Alligator mississippiensis: one gene and its partner. The protein of the gene in region 1 interacts with the protein of each later gene in a pairwise test. Links are inferred from orthologs where the notes say so. Each region holds a gene or a part of one and is shown on either strand. Other genes may lie near its edges.

Evidence for each region.
Region 2: the proteins of MOCOS (region 1) and PARVA interact in binary tests that used the Homo sapiens proteins (3 or more experiments, as listed by UniProt). The two-hybrid records come from large-scale screens. The link is inferred for Alligator mississippiensis from reciprocal best matches to the Homo sapiens genes MOCOS and PARVA.

The regions. Positions count from the first base shown.
Region 1 is NC_081828.1:78,062,715-78,071,543, reverse strand, and holds the start of MOCOS (molybdenum cofactor sulfurase), read left to right. Parts: upstream 1-5,222; 5' UTR 5,223-5,237; coding exon 5,238-5,364; intron 5,365-8,829. UniProt on the Homo sapiens protein: Sulfurates the molybdenum cofactor. Sulfation of molybdenum is essential for xanthine dehydrogenase (XDH) and aldehyde oxidase (ADO) enzymes in which molybdenum cofactor is liganded by 1 oxygen and 1 sulfur atom in active form.
Region 2 is NC_081825.1:201,150,290-201,158,728, reverse strand, and holds the start of PARVA (alpha-parvin), read right to left. Parts: upstream 3,600-8,439; 5' UTR 3,506-3,599; coding exon 3,370-3,505; intron 1-3,369. UniProt on the Homo sapiens protein: Plays a role in sarcomere organization and in smooth muscle cell contraction. Required for normal development of the embryonic cardiovascular system, and for normal septation of the heart outflow tract.

The DNA of each region.
Region 1 (8,829 bases):
CAAGGTCATCCTGAATCTTTGCCCTATCCTCTGTTGTGCCTGCATTTCCCTGCAGCTTAGTATCATCCTTGAACTTAATCATGGAGCTTTCCACCCCCTCATCCAAGTCATTAATAAAAATATTAAAGAGCACAGATCCAAGCAGTGATCCCTTGGGGACACCACTGAGATGGGCCTCTCCATCCCATCAATTACAACTCTCTGGGAGTGGCCTCTAAACCAGTTGTCCACCCACCTCACTGTAGACTGGTCCAGCCCAGTACCCTCCAGTTTGACTGTGGGAATCTCGTGGGAAATAGAATCAAAGGCTTTGCTGAAATCTAAGTAAATGACATCAACCATATGCCCCTCATCCACATGGCTAGATACCTAGTCATAGAAGGACATTAGGTTAGTCAGACATGATCTACCCTCAACAAAGCTGTACTGGTTGCTTTGTAACACCCCTTCAGTTACCAGGCTGTGATTGGCCTCCTTAACAAATTTTTCAAAGCTTGTTCCCAGGACCGAAGTCAGGCTGACCAGTCTGTAGTTTGCTGGGTCATCCCTTTTCCCTGTCTTAAAGATGGGCACCACATTGACCCTCTTCCAGTCATCCAGGACAACTCCTGAGTTCCATGATTCTTGAAACTGCTTGGCCAGGGTGCTGCCAGCCAGTTCTTTCAAGACTCTCAGGTGCAGGTTGTCTGGCCCAACAGACTGGAAAACATCCAGGTGTTGTAGGAGATCCCTCATCTGCACAGGAGTGATTTCGTATAATCTTTTGTCTTCCCCACGTTTCCTGGGCCTCTGGTCAGGTTAACAGCTCCTGTTTGATTTCAGGAATACTGACATGAAGTATGTATTTAGGAGTTCTGTCTTTTTGCAGGTGTTGATTGTGGGCTGTCCCTGAGGATTCAGTAGGGGGTCCTGATTTTTTGTTCCTTCCTATGTATCTGTGGAAGGACTTATTGTTGTCTTTTATGCCAGCTGCCAGCTTGATTTCCATGCCTGCATTAGCTTTCCGTGTCTCATATCTGCAGGCCCTGGTAATACAAGTGTATTCCTCTCTGGTAGCTGATCTGTTCTTCCATAGCTTATATGATTCTTCTTTCTTTTTCAAAAGCTCCCTAATATCCCTGTTGAGCCAAGAGGGTCTCTTGGCTCCTTTCCTGTTTTTTGTCTGCATGGGGATGGCCTGTTTTTGAGCTGTGAGAATTGACTCCATAAGGAAGCACCAGCAATACAAGAACTATCCTGCTGTAGAACAGATTAGTTCACTCCATTCTAATAGGGGTGCAGGTGTAGATACTGAGACATTTACTGAGCAACTAATTAGCCAACTGTACAGTAAATGTTCCATGTACAGGGGCCCACTGTGGAGCAACCACCAAGTTGTCTGGGATGGTTACCACAGTTAGGTAAAGGTTTTAAATGGTTATGTGGCTGCTGCTGCATAATCCTGCTTTCTTCTTTGTGGGTGTGTCTACCTGTGTTATTAATGCAATCTAGGCTTACTGAACAGTAAAATACTGCTCAGTAAGCCTTCCCTGGGAGCGTGCGCCCTATTTGAAGCAAATCTGTTCCCAATGGAGCAGCCTAGTACAGGACTGCTCCTGCCCTGCCCTGCCTCGCCGCAGCATCCAGGCTCTGACGTGGCTGGGGCCAGGAAATCCCTGCCGTCTGCATTGGCAGCTGCCTCCTTGCCCCATGCACATTGGGAGGGGTCCTGATGTGCTTGGGGCCTGGAGACAGCTGCCACTATAGTTGGCAGAGCTCTCCCAGCCCTCTGAGCATTAGGACACACAGCTGCCAGTAAGACCTGTGCCCAGAGGGGCTTCCCTGCCCAGCAGGGATTTCACCAGGAGCTGTCCTGATTCTGGGGGAGCTGCTAGTGAGCCCCCTGCTGGGTGGGGATTACTTGCCCATCAGGCGGCTTGCCAGTAGTGCTGGGATGAGACCGAGACAGAGAGTGACCCCATCCCCATCCCTCCTGGGCAGAGCCGGGAGCTGAGCAGGACCAGGACCAGGGACAGAGAACTCCCCAGTCTCTTGTGGTCTCCTGCTGATGTTTACAGGTACTAGCTAACTGCATAATAGACTAATTTACTGTGCCATAAATGCCATGCACATGTAAATGGTAATGCTGTACTGACAACTAGATTAATCTGTTATGCAGTAAAGCATCTCATGTAGATGCGCCCTGTGTCTCATTTCTTGTATTTACATTACTGTAGCACTGACTTTATAGGTATAGTTTATTCCAAGTGATATTTATAGCCTAACATGCAAACTGATATGCGAATAGGCTGATGCAGTTTATCAGGACTTCTGGGCAATATAAAGTTACATAACTATGCTGGCAACAGTACACATCTTCAGTGTTTTACTAGAGTTAATCAAGAATTTTTCCCTGTGAACAATGTAAATGAAAATGTCCTTGACTTAAACAGAAAGTTTGTAGGTTTACAGGTAAACAACTTTTTCCTCTAAAGCTTCTATTACATATAAAATAGTTTTCTGTCAAGAGGAAAAATAAAAAGGTTTCAATCAGTTCTTTCACTGGGAATGTTTCTGTAAACACCATAAATATGCCTTTCCCTGTGTATGATTCTGATGACCTTTACAGATTTTTGAGACCTAGACGTGTACAATTTAATTGATGTAAACATACCCATATTTCTGTTTCTGTAACATAGATTGATCTCTTTGAGTATTGTTTTGGAATTGTGATTGCTGAGTTTATGGAAAGTGTAAGTCTGGGAGGTTGGGGGAGGTGGAGTGGAGACCAGAATTTGTAGGTGATAGTGAAACAAAAATGATTCAGGGGATGCTGTCTTACAGTGCTGGAATGGGCACAGAGATATCCCAAACCCTGCTTTTGATGGAAATTGAGCCCTGGGATGGGACACAGAAGCCTAAGAAAGAACACAGAATGCTATACATTTATTTAGTCATAGTCATGCACCTATATGTAAAATTGAACCTTCATGCAAATACACAGACATTTATTGTATTAGGATGGCATCTGGGAGCAACACTGTAGCCATGGCTGTGTTTTAAAATATGCTAAAATAGAGCGAAACTCTGGTAATTTTCTAAAAGTAGGGGTGCAATTGCTGTGAATTTAATTTTAAATGCCATGCCTACAATTTTAAATGTTGCTTCATTTCTCTTTGTAAATGCTTCATAAAATAGACATTGACTGAATAGTTTTCCTGGCAATCTGACCCTCCTTTGTTGACCAGTGAAGTAAAATATCAAAGCATCTTAGCCGGTGTACTATAGGTGTATTTACGACTATAAATCTCACTGAAAGTTCTGGGACGAGCCAGTGTGACCTGTATACTTGTTTTTTAAATGGGAAATAGGGTTATTTTAGCTATTACTCACTACAGGTGAAGGTATGTGCGCTAGTGGCTGCCAACAGAGATGTTCTTGTCAAATAAAATTTTCTCTAGTGCAGATTTTTTTTCCCCCAGATAAAATAAACTCAGTGGTCTAGTTAAAATCTTCCCTGTCAGTAGCTACACTTTTAGCAGAGGGAGGGTAGGCAGTTAAATTTTATACTACAGAGCTAAAACTTTTCTGTGCAGTGCTTGGCACATGAACTTTCCTGAACAGCAACTGCACTTCACCATAGCCTAACCTTACATAGGATGGGATGGATCTATAAGTGCAGGCTGGTGAGTGAATAAGATGCTAGTTGGCCAAAAGACACCAGCCTGTCAACAGTGTTTTATAAGAGGAGTGTCACAGGGTTCAAAAATCCACAGTGGTTCACTAGGTTAGGGAAGGGGGAGGGAGGGGGAGAATCATTATTCCCTCGTACACGCATAGTTCCCCAAAGTAGATCTATTATTGTCATGTTTGGTCTGCACCAACAGCTACGTAGTAGTTCATTTATATACTTGTAAGAAACACATGATATTTTTGTTAAGTGACTTAATAAGCAAGTCATCAGTTTGTTTACTGACTGTCAAGAAAGCAAGACAAGAGTATGGCTTCTGGAAACCTAGCACCAGTGCTCCAAGACATTGGAAAACTAAGCTTGCAAGCCTGGAAGAAAGGACTGATAGGAAAATCCTGCTGAGCACAGGTAGAACTTAGGTGAATTGTTTCTGTTTTGTTTGTTATGTTCATGTAAACCAGGCCCAAAGAAATTAAGTGGGGTGGGGAGATGGAGGAATTGTGCCATACCAAGTGGAATGCATTGCAGAGCCAGATGGTAATCTGAGAACAGCCAGGTCTGGTAAAATGATATACTCGAGCCTGCATAAGCATTACCAAACTCTAAAAAGTGAATATAGGTTTCCCTTGCCAACCACGGTTTTCCCAACCACAGTACTGAGTATCCACGCTTAATATTCTATATACCGTGTTGGCTACCATGGTATACAGCTTTGAGTAACCACAGTTTTCCATGGCCGCACATCAGGCTGCCACCTGCCATTTTTCCCATAAACCTTTTGTCTTGCCAACCATGGTTTTTCCAGGCACAGGAACTTTCAGGAACCTAACCCCAGCAGTTGGTGAGGGAAACCTGTAGTTTCTGTGGTTGAAGCAGTTGTTATGCATTATTATTACTATTATTAGTAATGCATATTATTACTGCTACTGATACTGGTCCTGTTGTTTTATTAGAGTAGCTATACAACTTGCCCTGCAAAAACCGTACTAAAGCTAAGCCCGGGAGTGTGACAGCTTCTCTCCCATCCCCAGGCATCTGCTTCTACCCTTACAACTACCCAGGCTCTATCACCTTCACTCTTCACCTCATCTAGGATGCCCAAGACAACATCCTTTGCGGTGAAAACACGCATCCCTACATGCATTCCAGGGCTGAAGAGCAAGTCCCCGGGGCAGAGCACTGAAAGTGAGAGAAATTGCCTTGAGCAACTAGGAGTCAGAGAAGAGGTTTGCAGGGCAGAGGTGGGCAGGGTTACAGGGGAGCTCAGCCCCTCATAAGAGAGAGCCCTCCTGTAAGATTTGAAAATCACTCACTCCAAGAAGCCACTTCAACAGCTTGGCGGCTTCGGGGGCCGGTTTAGTTGGGCAAGGAGCAGCACGAGCAGCCCTGGGCCGGGCCCCGGCGCCCGTTTAGCGCGCGTCCTCCGCAGAGCGGACACACACAGGAACGCGCGCGGCTGCCCGCGAGCCTTGGTGTCCCGGACGGGGCAGGGCTTGCGCCGTGCGGGGCGGGGGAAGGAGCCGGGAGGAGCCACTCGGGCCGGGCCGGGCCGGGCAAGTGGGGCAGCATGGCCGGGAGCGGGCGGGGGCCGGGGGAAGAGCTGCTGTCCTTCCAGGCCTTCCAGAGCAGGAGCCCGCTGGGGGCCCGCTACGGCGCGCGGGACAGCTGGCAGCGGGACTTCCGCCGGCTCCGAGGTAGCGCCGCGCGGGGAGGCGGCCGGGCGGGCGGGCCTCAGCTCCCCTCTGCAGCGCGCTCAGGCGGGACGGGCGCCGCGCCACCCTTCAGCCCGGGCACCTGCTCTGCCTCTGCCTGTCCCCCCTGGCAGCAGGGAGGGAAAGGGGAAGAAACTCAGTGTCGCGGGGGGAGCAGGGCAGGAGTCGTGGGCTTTCCCTTCTCAGACCCCTTTTAGGGGGTGGAAGCTGAGAGCCCTTTCCATTCTTGGCAGGAGCCTGTGGGAGGGGGTGTCAGGGAAGTGTTTCAAGAGGCTTTGTGGTCTAGAGGAAAAGGCAATCGGGACTCGTCCTAGAGATGCTCTCTTATTAGACCAACAGGTTTTAAAAAAAAAAAAAATAAAAAAAAAAATTTTTGGATTGCAAGCTTTCGGGCACAAACATCGGGCGTCGGAGACAACCTTGTAAAAGTTCTCCTGGGCAGAAAGGAAAGTTCATATTTGCTAGGATTTCACAGAGGAGTGGATACATTTTTATTTTATTTCTTTTAAAGAAATGATTCGTCGTCCAAGCCAAATCAAGTCCAAATCCGTGAGTCAGTCCAGAACCATAAGTGACCCAACAACCGGAAAACATACTCCACCCCCACTCGGGGCTTCAGATATTTCCAAAGTCTTTTGGTGGGGATCCGATATGTAGGCCCAAGCCCGGAGGCTTGAGGTTCGGGTGCCCCCAAGTTTCGCCTGCCCTCAGCCATACGGCCGCAGAAGCAAGCTAGGGAGGAGACTCCCATTTCCATAAAGTAGGCTTTAAGCCCCAACACTAAACCACACCAGAAGAACAGTTATCCCCGGGAACACTTAAGGAGAGCTGCCTTCTTGGACCCAGCTACATGGTGTTTCCCCTGTAGATGGAAAACTCCTCTGGGCAGGCAGTTCATAGCTGGCATGGAGCCTCTCGCCTCCTGTGAATGTCTGTGATGCTGCAAATTACCTTGAAACAAAGGCAGGACTTGGATCTCAGGGTTCAGGTGGTCACAGTTGCTTCCTGTGAAAATGTCAAGATTTCATTAAAAAAACTGGCTAAAATTCGATATCCTCCATGTATCAGGTATCCAAGTTGTAGCTGTATTGGTCTAGAGGAAAAGGCAGTCAGGACTCATAGTAGAAGTAATCTCTTTTATTACACCAACAAGATTTTTGCAAAAAAAAAAAAGAAAAAGCCTTTAATTGCAAGTTTTTGGGCACAAACACCCTTCATCAGGCATTAGAGAAAAGACTGTAAAAGTTCTCCTGGGTAGAAATGACAGTTCATACTTCGTAGGATTTCACAGAGGAGTCCATAGATGGAAAACTCCTCTGGGCAGTCAGTTCATACCCATATGAAGCCTCTCACGTCCTGTGAGGATCTGTGATGATGCAAATTACCTTGAAATGAAAGCAGGAGCAGGATCTCGGGTTTCAGGTGGTCACAGTTGCTTCCTGCTTGGGAAAATATGAAGATTTCATTTTAAAAAATGTGGCAAGGGGCTTTTTGGTGCTGGTGGGGTTACATGTGGTTTTTTTGCTGTAAAAGGATGCAGGAGGGGAGTGGGGGGAACCACACACAATGAGCAAACAGCAAGAATTTCCCCTTCATTAGGCAGGAAAATAGAAGCATAGAAAGGGCTGGAAGGGACCTTGGGAAAGAATCAAGTCCAACCCCCTGCTCCAAGCAGGACCATCCCCATCTACATCATTCCATTGTCTAGCAGGGTCTTAAAAACCTTTCAGGAGGGAGATTCCACAACCTCTCTGGGTAGCCTGTTCCAGTGTTGTACGACCCTCAGAGTTTTCCCCAAGATCTAACCTAAACTCCCCTTGTTGTAACTTGAGCCTGTGAAATAGAAGGGGACACAATAGTTGGGTAGACAGGTTTTTTTCCAGTTTCATAATCAAATCTCGCTTTCCTATACCTCTGGCCCAGTGTGATGAGCAGTAAGAATAAAGGGCATAAGAAAGTTATCTTCTTTTGCTAATAAGGCTATGCTTGCCCACGGTATTATGGCACCAGCATTTTTTCCGAAAAGTACAATGGCACTGGGATTATCAGAATGTAATATCAGCTCACATCCAATCCCATATGTGTTATCAAGTCAGTGTACTCTTTCCACCAGCAGAGTTTTCACCTTCTCACTCCTTTTCATCATGTCTCTGAAAATAAGTTGTACGTTGCTGATCAAGATCTGCCTTCAGTTCACAAGGCTGTTTTTAATAAAGGAGAAATTGTTTTTGTGATTCTGGTCCAGCACTCTGAAAGCTTTTGCCAGGTAGGATTTACAAAGGAAATGACTACTATTTATTCTATTTTGTTGTATTTATTAGTATATTATTATTGTTGTTGCTACTGTTAGTGATGCTGAATGATAAAATTGGCCTCCAAGAATAAAATGAAGGAGAGTGAAAAAGCAAAAGGGGTAATTTTGGAAAAGAGAAGGTTTCTAAAACTATTTTGAAGATTGAATCAGTTGGAATATTGGTAAAAGCTTGGTATCATCAGGTCTTTGTGTGACAAATACACTTGTACCAAGGTTTTGAAAAACTGCACTGGATCTTAGAACAGGGTCCTAAATCTCTTATTCTGATGTTTGAAAAAATAGCCTGCTTTTATCAAAAAACCTGTTGGAAGACAATTTACATCCTTAGGGCTGCCTGATTTCCGAATGCCACCAGGTGAATGGGACAAGCTCACTGACTGCAGAGTAGGTTGGACCTAGTATGCCCAAAAGCACTATGGAACAAGTACTTTACAATCTGTAGTAGCTGTACTTTTCATAGATTCATAGATTGTAAGAGGCTGGAAGAGACCTTGCAAGATCATTGGGTCCAGCCCTGGGTCCTTATCCACACTCAGCCTGTTCCTGTGCTCCTGTTTTGGATTCTTTGGCTCCTGACTTCTGGTACTAGCTTGACCATGGATATGGATTTTACTTTCTGGCTAGGATTTTGGCTTGGACTCTGGCTTTGACTCTCTTGAGCAGCCTTGGTCCCTCGTTTGGATTAGCCTCTGATGCAAGTACAGTACTTGTCAACCCCCTTGCTCCTCTAGACTGCCTGTGACTCACTTCTTACAAAACCAAAAACTCAGTGGTTCCCTTAAACTTCAATATTTGACAGTCAAGCCACATGTTTAGGCTGCTGATATTTTAATAAGCACTGTATACATGAACTTCTATACACGTGCGGAGTTCATTGCAGAAGTGGAGCATAAATCAGGAATTAGGAACCAAATTTTGTAGTCCTAATCAGGAATTAGGAACCAAACTTTCCACCTATATTTAAGAAAATCTTGGCCTAGATAGGCAGTTTTCTAAAACTCCAGCAGTGAGGTTTAAGTTGAGAAGAACAGGTATCTTTTTTCCCTAAGTATTAAATACAAGGGTTACAGATGGTTCAGTTGATTTATCACTTCAGATACAGTTGTGAAATTTGCAGTCGGAATGTGTTTTGT
Region 2 (8,439 bases), on another chromosome or scaffold:
GTGATGCTACTGGAACTCCCCACAGCTAGATGACAGCTCCTTGTACTGGATCCAGCCTGTGGGCCATAGGTTGAGCACCACTGATGGAGGTATAACACCACAGCTAGGCTCCTGGGGCAGTTGCAACACATGGGGACAGCAGCAACTTCTGGCTGCTGTTGTGCTTCCAATGCAATGATATGGCTGTGGTGGCACTGTTTTTTTTCTGTTCCACTCCCCTTCACCCCCCTCAAGTCAGCACCTGGGATAGCTGCCCTGGTTGCCACACTCTAGTTATGCTACCGACCTGTGTATGGACCCATGTAATACTTATTTAAAACAGTTTAAATGTAGTTTAAACCTGAAACAGACATTTAAAGCTGCCTGGAATGGCTCAGAAGTGTACCTGGAAAATCAGTGCACCATGTGTTAGTACACTTGTGAACCAGGTGCATCCCATATTACATAATTCCTTACTTCCCTCCCTCCCCCCCCCACTGCAACCGGTCACTCAGCAGCCAGAACTCTACGGTTCCTTTATTTTTCCTTTTGTTGGCACTTCTTATCAATAATCTCCCTTGCACTATTTGTTAAATAAACAGCTTAGTGCGTCCTTACTCCCTGTTTGACTGCAGCCCATCATTATGCCCTTCAAGCCCCTGGGAATGCTAAACATGGGTCCAAGCATTTCCCTCATTCTACCTGGAATGCTAGGGAACTATAGATGCAGACTTCTGAGCAGCAACAATGGTGAACCAGTTCCCAGTTGATAACATTTAGGTATGGTTCAGTTGTTACATCTGCTACTCCAGGGAAGTTTGTCAACTTTCTGAACAAAAGCAGGGTATAAATTACATTGGTATACAAAACTGATGTACATCACGCAACAAAAACCTGTTGTGGGTCCACACCTGCAGCTTAGTGAGAAGACACACTGATGCCACTCACATACATAAAAATAAATTACTTTCTTCAAACCAGATGTTTAACTTTGATGACAACAGAAGCAGCTTGACCACATCTTTGCCATTCTAAGCAATATAACCCACAAATAGTAAATGCCGTATCTTTCAAGTTTGCTGGTACAAGTGTTTAGAAGTAAACAGCTCAATTTCTAACTTCAAGGACACTGATGAAATCTCTTTTACACTCACAATGTTTCGAAAATTTAATGTTTGAACTGAGGGCAAACTCCAGTTCTCAGTCTCGCTTGATTTTAACTAGGCAACAGATTCAGGCATACAATGCTTGTATAATTTTGAACAAGGCTGCTTTATCAAAGTGGGGATAAATATTAGTGAAAATTATCAGCAAAAATATTGGTAAAAAAAGACTACTGTGTACTTGGAATTTGCGCGTCCCTTTGCATAACGACAGTGGTATTCAACTTACTGGCAAAGTTAATTCACAGAGGAGCAGACCTTTCAAGAAGGAAGAACATTACATTCAACAACTGAATCAGATTTTTTTTATATTCAGCCTTTATTAACTGCTCAAGGCTTAGATGCTACATCAACCTCTCCAATCAACCCACCTATGTACTAGGTGTTGCAAAAACTTGCCTGGACAGGATAAGCAGAGGACACAATACCTTGAGCTTTGAAACTTGTTGGGTTTTTTTAAATTAATGCCATAATCTCTTTTTAAAAAATACCCGGGTCATATTCGCACATATTGCAGATCAAGGTACGCGTGCTCCAAGCTCCCTTTTGTATTCACATGTTCCAGCAGGAACTCTGCAGGGCTGGGTCCCATACACCAAGTTAGAGCCTGACAACTGATTCATCTTAAACCAAACATAAGCCCTACACGAATTAACTCACATTCCCCACAAGAATTAACCTGCCAATGCCCATACTGATTCCTAGCATGGAAGGACCAATATGACAACTCGAGCAAATACAGAAATGATGGGGTACATGGCTTTAACGTGCCTGGACAGACCTGCAGATAAGTGATTCTCTTGTGACAGTTAAACCATTTCACACTAGCACAGTAATATCAGGGATCTGCTTGGGTGCTTTATATGAAGCACTTCAGGTCTTTCAGCAAATTGCTGTGAAGACTTCAACAGAGGCCCCCTTCATTCAGTATTACACCCCCCCAGCTCTGGTCCTATAGTCCAAGAAAACAATCGAGCCTAGTGCAAGAGTGATATTGTAGCCATGATGGTTCAGAAATTATGCGAGGCAAGGATTTCTTTGGGCGGTATCTTTTATTGGACCAACTCTGTAGGTGGAATATAGTTAGACAAGCTTTCAAATACAAGACATTCTTCCTCAGGGACCTAAAGAAAGTCCCCAAGCAGATGCTTGATATGGAGCAGTATTACCTTGCTAGTGTGAAATGAACTTCACCTGGTTTAACTATCCCAGGAGAATCACTTACCTGCAGGTCTGTCCAGGCACCTGTTACAGCCGTCTGCCCCATAATTTCCCCATCTACTCTAGTTGTCAGGTGGGTCCTTCCATGGTAGGAATCAGCATGGGCATTGGCAAGTTGTCCCTGAACCACTCCCAGTCTCTCATGTGGTTTCATTGCTGTGTGGAAAATGTTTGGTTTAAGATTGTGATTCCCAGCCTCGGGTCACGACCCAAATAAGGGTTGTGGGGGCAGTGGCGGGGGTGCCTCACACAGAGGATGAGCCACACCTAGTGCCAGGAGCTCCCCTGTCCCCACCCTTGGGCTGCCGCCACCACGCTCTGCTCCCAGCAGCGGGTTACTGCAAAAAAAAGGTTGGGAACCGCTGATTGAAGACGATGCAGTTACCAAGCTCTCACTCTGCGTCAGGGTCCCAGCCCTGCCCAAATCCATCAGGAAGAGGTGACTGCAACGGGAAGCTTGCAGCACTGCAGGGCACCTTGACCTGAGGAAGAGCGTCTGACACCGGAAAACTTGTCTAACTTTAACCCAACTCCACGGCGGGTCCAATAAAAGATCTCACACCAAGAAACCCTTGCCTCCCCCCCTTAACCCTTTCATCACCATCTGCCCCTCTTCTGCCAAGCACCCCTCCCCCACTGTCCCGGAGAGAACCGCGGTTCTAGAACGCCTGGCGGCCCCGCCCCACCCCGCCCCGCCCCGCCGCACGCCCACGTGCTGCTCCGAGGAGCGCCCTGGGCCGCGGTGGGCGCCCTGCCTGCAGGCCGCGCGGGGTGGGGGGTGGAGCCTCCTCGCCCCTGCCCCTGCCCCTGCCCCTGCCCCGGTCGTGGCGATGCGCCTTGCCACGCCCGCCGGAGGGCCCGCAGGCAGCCGCCGAGGAGCCCGCGCGCCCCAGCATTTTTGTGGCGTGACGCGGGGCAACCCGCAGCCCCGCGCCCCGGGGGGCTGCGGGTCACAGCCCGGCGGGGCTGTGCCCCGCCGCCTGTTTTGTTTTTTTGGTTTTTTTACCTTCCTTGGCTTTTTTCCTCCTGGCCAAAGTGCCTCCGAGTTTGCCCAAGAAGGAGTCATCTTTCTTGCGAGAAGGAGGAGACTTGGGCGTGGGGGACTTGGGCGCCGAGGGCGACTTCTGAGGGGACGTTGCCATGAGCGGGGCGCGGGGCGAAACAGCCCGGTCCAGCGCCCGACGTGAGGGGAGGTAGGCCGGGCGCCCAGATGTAGCGAGCGGCTGGCTGCCCTGCTCCAAACGGAAGCGGAATTATTTCAAGCATTTGAGGCAGCTCCTGCTCTCCCTCCTTCCTTCCCTCCCTCCCGCCCGCCCGCCGCCGCCCGGCCACGGAAGGCCGCTGTCGCCGCCGCGCGCGCTGCTCTCTCCGCACCTGCCCCGCAGCCCCTGTCGCCCCCGCTGCCGGGCTGGGCTGGGCGTTAGGCCGGGATTGCTTGTGCCACAGGCGGCTGTCTGGCGCTGGAAGGAGATCTTCGCAGTCCCGAAACAAGATCCCGGATCCTGCCTGATCTACTGCCCCTCTGATCCAGGCAGAAGCCACCCCCAGCCCCCCTGGCCTGTGCTTCTTCGGGCCCTGCCTCAAATTAAACCTGGACTAAAGAGCTGCTCTGTGTTTTCAAGCCTTGATTTTACTGTGGGTTGGCTCTTTCTATAGCTGGACCGTCATTTTTACCCTGCAATTGTTATTTTGCACAGCGCAGTTTGTCACCTTTGATCTCATGAGCCTGGCCCACCAAGTTTCTTACTGGCCTCCCTTGGGCAGCCAGGCTACAGGAAAAGGTGCTGACAGGCTTGGGACAAATCATAATTAAAGAAACGGGGATTGGCATGCTGGTCACAGGTTCAAAAGAAGAGTGCCAAGGGCGCAACACAGAGCAGAGCACACTGGACCAGCCCTCAAGCGAGTCCAAGGAGCCAGCGGACACTGCCCAGTCCACAAATGACTGGTCTAAATTGGCGGCACGATTAACCAGTTACTTGTGGGGTCAGTACTTTGCACTTGTGGCCCATCTTACTTCGCGTGTGCGGCTAGTTTGAATTTATGCCATGATTAAGTAGTGGATTTCACAATATATGTAATGGGTAGGAGGGGCCTTTGTGAAGCTTTTGACCCGTTACAAATAAGAAAGCAACCATGTTCCTCATAACTTAGAGGGGGCTAGGCATTTGTTTCCTAGTGGATCAGACAGTAGTACCACTGGCTTTATAATATGCTGAGGTATACGGTGGTTGGGACAGCAGTGGCAGACTTTCACACCTGGCAGACTTTCAGTAGTCTTGGAATAGAATTTTCTAATAGAAATAGATTACATATAGGGTGTGCAACCCCCTTAGTATCCTCTTTTTACCTAAGTTGTCCAAAGCTGGGCCTAGGCCATAGGTCAGTGACCACTGTAGTGAGGGAAGGTGTAAATAAGCATAAGCGCTGACTTTGGTTTTTGCCGTGGGTGGTTTGGTTTTTTTTGCATTCCCACACCGAGCCCTGCGCACGCCTAGAAGAGACAGCACGTTACAGGCATTGGGCGAGCTGGGTTGAGGTAAAGATCAGGTGCTTATTGGGGCTTTTTGGGGGCTTTTATCTAATAGCTTATTGAATAAGCTTTAGCTAAAATTGCCTAAAAGCCCCGCTGAAGCACCCAATCTTTACAGACACTGCAGAGCCAGGTTGAAGTAATGCACTGCTTCTTCCAGTAAAGTGCAGTTTGGTTGGGTTTTTTAACATCCACAAGCAGCCACAGAGATCTAACATGTAAAACCAAAACAGCTGTGTGGGGCTTGTGGGTGCTGAGAACCTGCCAGTTTTTTTTGATGGGTGCTTGAGCCCCAGAGCACCCATGGAGTCAGCGCCTATATAAAGAAGCACCTGCTTTTCCAGTCCGCATATATAGGGACAAGGTAAAATTGCGGCCCTGTGGTCTTGGCATTGCTAGTAACTTATTTACATTACAAAAGCCATCGGGCTTCTTTGATTTACAGTGGGGACTGGACCAGCATCAAGATTGGCTCAAGATAGATAAAGGCAGCTAAAAGCCAACTGCCCTGGCTCTACATCCCCTCCCACTCCGCACAACTCCAAGCTTCCCAATCCTGCAAGTGCTCTTCAGTCACAATTGAAGATTCTGTTTTATCCCATTTATATTTGTATGCTGCATCCCTTGCTATAGGTTCTGGGCCACAAACTAAAGCCCCAATCTTTCATCCCCATAGAGATACTGAACTTTGCACGTGGGATTAACCTAAATCAATAGAACTACTTGGGTACCAAAACTGAAGCACATGCATACACGTTTGTGGGAACGAAGCTCAGATTAGGAAATTGTGAAACGAATTCTGTCAGTTCGATGAATTTTTCCAGCGTATATGACCAAGGAAGAAGGCAAAGAACACTAAGAGGATACCATCGACTTTTCTTCAGGTTAACATTTAGGTTTCCAAATGTAATCTCAGATAAGCAAAATTCCATCTACCACCACATTTCTGTAGCACCCATCAACATATATGTATATGTGATTACTTTGTAATCGTATGAGAATGACAAGATGGCAATGTACGGGTTAGTAGGAAAGAAAAGAAAAAAAAAAACCTTAGTGACAGGACAAACTTACATGAAAAATGAAACATGTTCCTGGTGAGGAACAACATCGTTTTCCAGTTCTCCTATTAGATTTGCAAACAAGTAGCTTAGAAGAAAAGTATGTCAGAGGCACACAATTTACCATGATTGACAGTTGATTCAGGAGAGGCCCAGGACTGGAACAGCATTAATGTCTTACGGATGTGCTACTTTCACTTACCGTTTAATCACTCGATTAACAATTTAAGCAAAAAGCCACACACACTTCATGCAAATATCTGGCTATCCATTAGGCATAGTAAGTGAAATGAAATTACCATGAGGATATTTCTAAATCAGTTAATAATTGTTGTGTTTTTACAAATCAGTAACAGGTATCTGATGAGAGGGAGGCATCAACAAATATTTACTGTACGTTGTTTGTACATGCTCTAGAGACTAACATTAATCAACCATACAGTGCCATTCTTTTAACAGAAAAGTGGACTAGAAGGCTGGTAGAATACCACATTTCTTTATATTTGCTCTCGCTGCATTTGTCATTTTGAACAGTTACTTGCATGGTCTACAGTTTCACATGCTACTAAATAAACTCTGTATATTTACAAGTTTTATTTATTTACACACTGTTTGGATCAGGTCACCAGCTGCTTTGAACAGATTTTTTTTTTTTAGGAATATAGAAACTTTTTTAAAGGAAGGAGAAACAAATGTCATATCTACCTATTGTATATGCATGCAACTGTGCCATAGGCATTTACAAGTAGAATAGTTTTGTGAAAAGGGATCCATTTATGCCAGGGGCAGGCAATTATTTTGGGTAGAGGGCTGCTTACTGAGTTTTGGCAAGCCATCGAGGGCCACATGACAGGCAGCCCAGGGCAGATAAATATTAATTTTCTAAATTTTTTAGGGGCCCCACGGGCCAGATAGAATGGACTGGTGGGTCACATCTGGCCCCCGGCTGCATTTTGCCCACCCCTGATTTATGCTCACCTGGCTGCATCTGGATGTAAACATAGGATTTTATAAAGATACCAGAGGTGGGATGAGGAGCAAAATTTGGCAAATGCAGGTCACCAGATTCTGTGGCACCCACCGAGGCAGATTTTGCATCCTGCAGTGGATTCTGAAGCGCACATCCCCACAGTAAAGGATATCTTAATGTTTATAAGAAGCCACGCTATAATTGCATACACTCCCAGCTTTTATTGACGTAAATTATTAACCATAAATACAATTACAATAATATGGTGTGGGGTTGTTTTTTTCCCTACAGGTACACACACATTTTTCAGGGGTAGTCATTCATACCACTGTTTTATTGATTTAACCACAGTGTCATATCACTCAGAGTGATTCATGTTAGAATTGCATAAGATGACAACAAAGAAAGATTTTGTCTGAGATGCTTTCCAAAGTAACTCAGAGGGGTAGAATACGTTATATACCTACCATGGTATAGAGCCAATAAGAAAGAGAACTGATGCAGCAGAACTAATAAGACAACCTATAACCTGAAATTATTGATTCATGAGAAAGATCAGCTCTGATGTTACATATGGTTTTTGCTGCTTTCCTGCATTTGTTCAATTGAATTGTCAAACTGTTGAGATGGACTGAGGTCATGCAGTAAATTAGTGACTGATCTTAGATTAGAACTCGGAATCTTTTTTCTAACTAAAATTTTGATTCAAATGTCTTTGGATCAAATACTCTTCTGATTCTTAAGGGTAAGATTGTCAAAAACACTTAGTTTTGGCCTGCAACTGTTCCCTTCCTAACAGTAAACTGGTTGCTGGTTGTGCAATACACTGTGGTAGTGATATGGTCATTGCAAACTTTCACTGTGGTGTTCAGGAAATTAATTGGCTGGGTACAGTATTCCAGACTCAGTTTGATGGACAGATGGAAGTTAAAGTCTTGGTGCAATTTCTCTAAAAATGCCTTCCAGTGTGCCCATATGATAAAGATATCAATGCACCTTAAGTTTTCCAAGGTATACGGGGCCGAGGGGAGCACAGGTGCAGAAGAAGCGAACTTTAAGGTCTGTCATAACCAAGGATCAAGGTTTTCTGTTTCTTGTAGAAACACATGGACTTACCTCTTTAAAAGAGAAAAACACAGATTTTCCACTTTTAAGTGAGAAAACATGGGTTTCCCCTTTTGGAAACAGCTTTCTGCAGGCTGGCAGAGTTCCAGCCTACAACAAGCTGCTTGCAAAAAGGATGCAAACCCTAAGCCCTGTCCAGAGGGGTAGGGGAAGGGGATGGGGCCTAACAATTTGAGACCAGCCAGAGCTGGCTCAGATTCACTTTGCCTCCTGCAGCCTTTCGGGTAAAAAGAGCCTGAGGGGACGGGGCCTGAAGACAGGGGCTGGGGGCCTCCTCCAGTACAGCTGGGGAGGGGCAGGGGGTTGCAAGTGGGAACGTGGGGGCCAGTAATTTTCTGGTTCCCTTGCAGCCCCTGGGCCTGATTTCATATGTTTCAGGGCCCACCG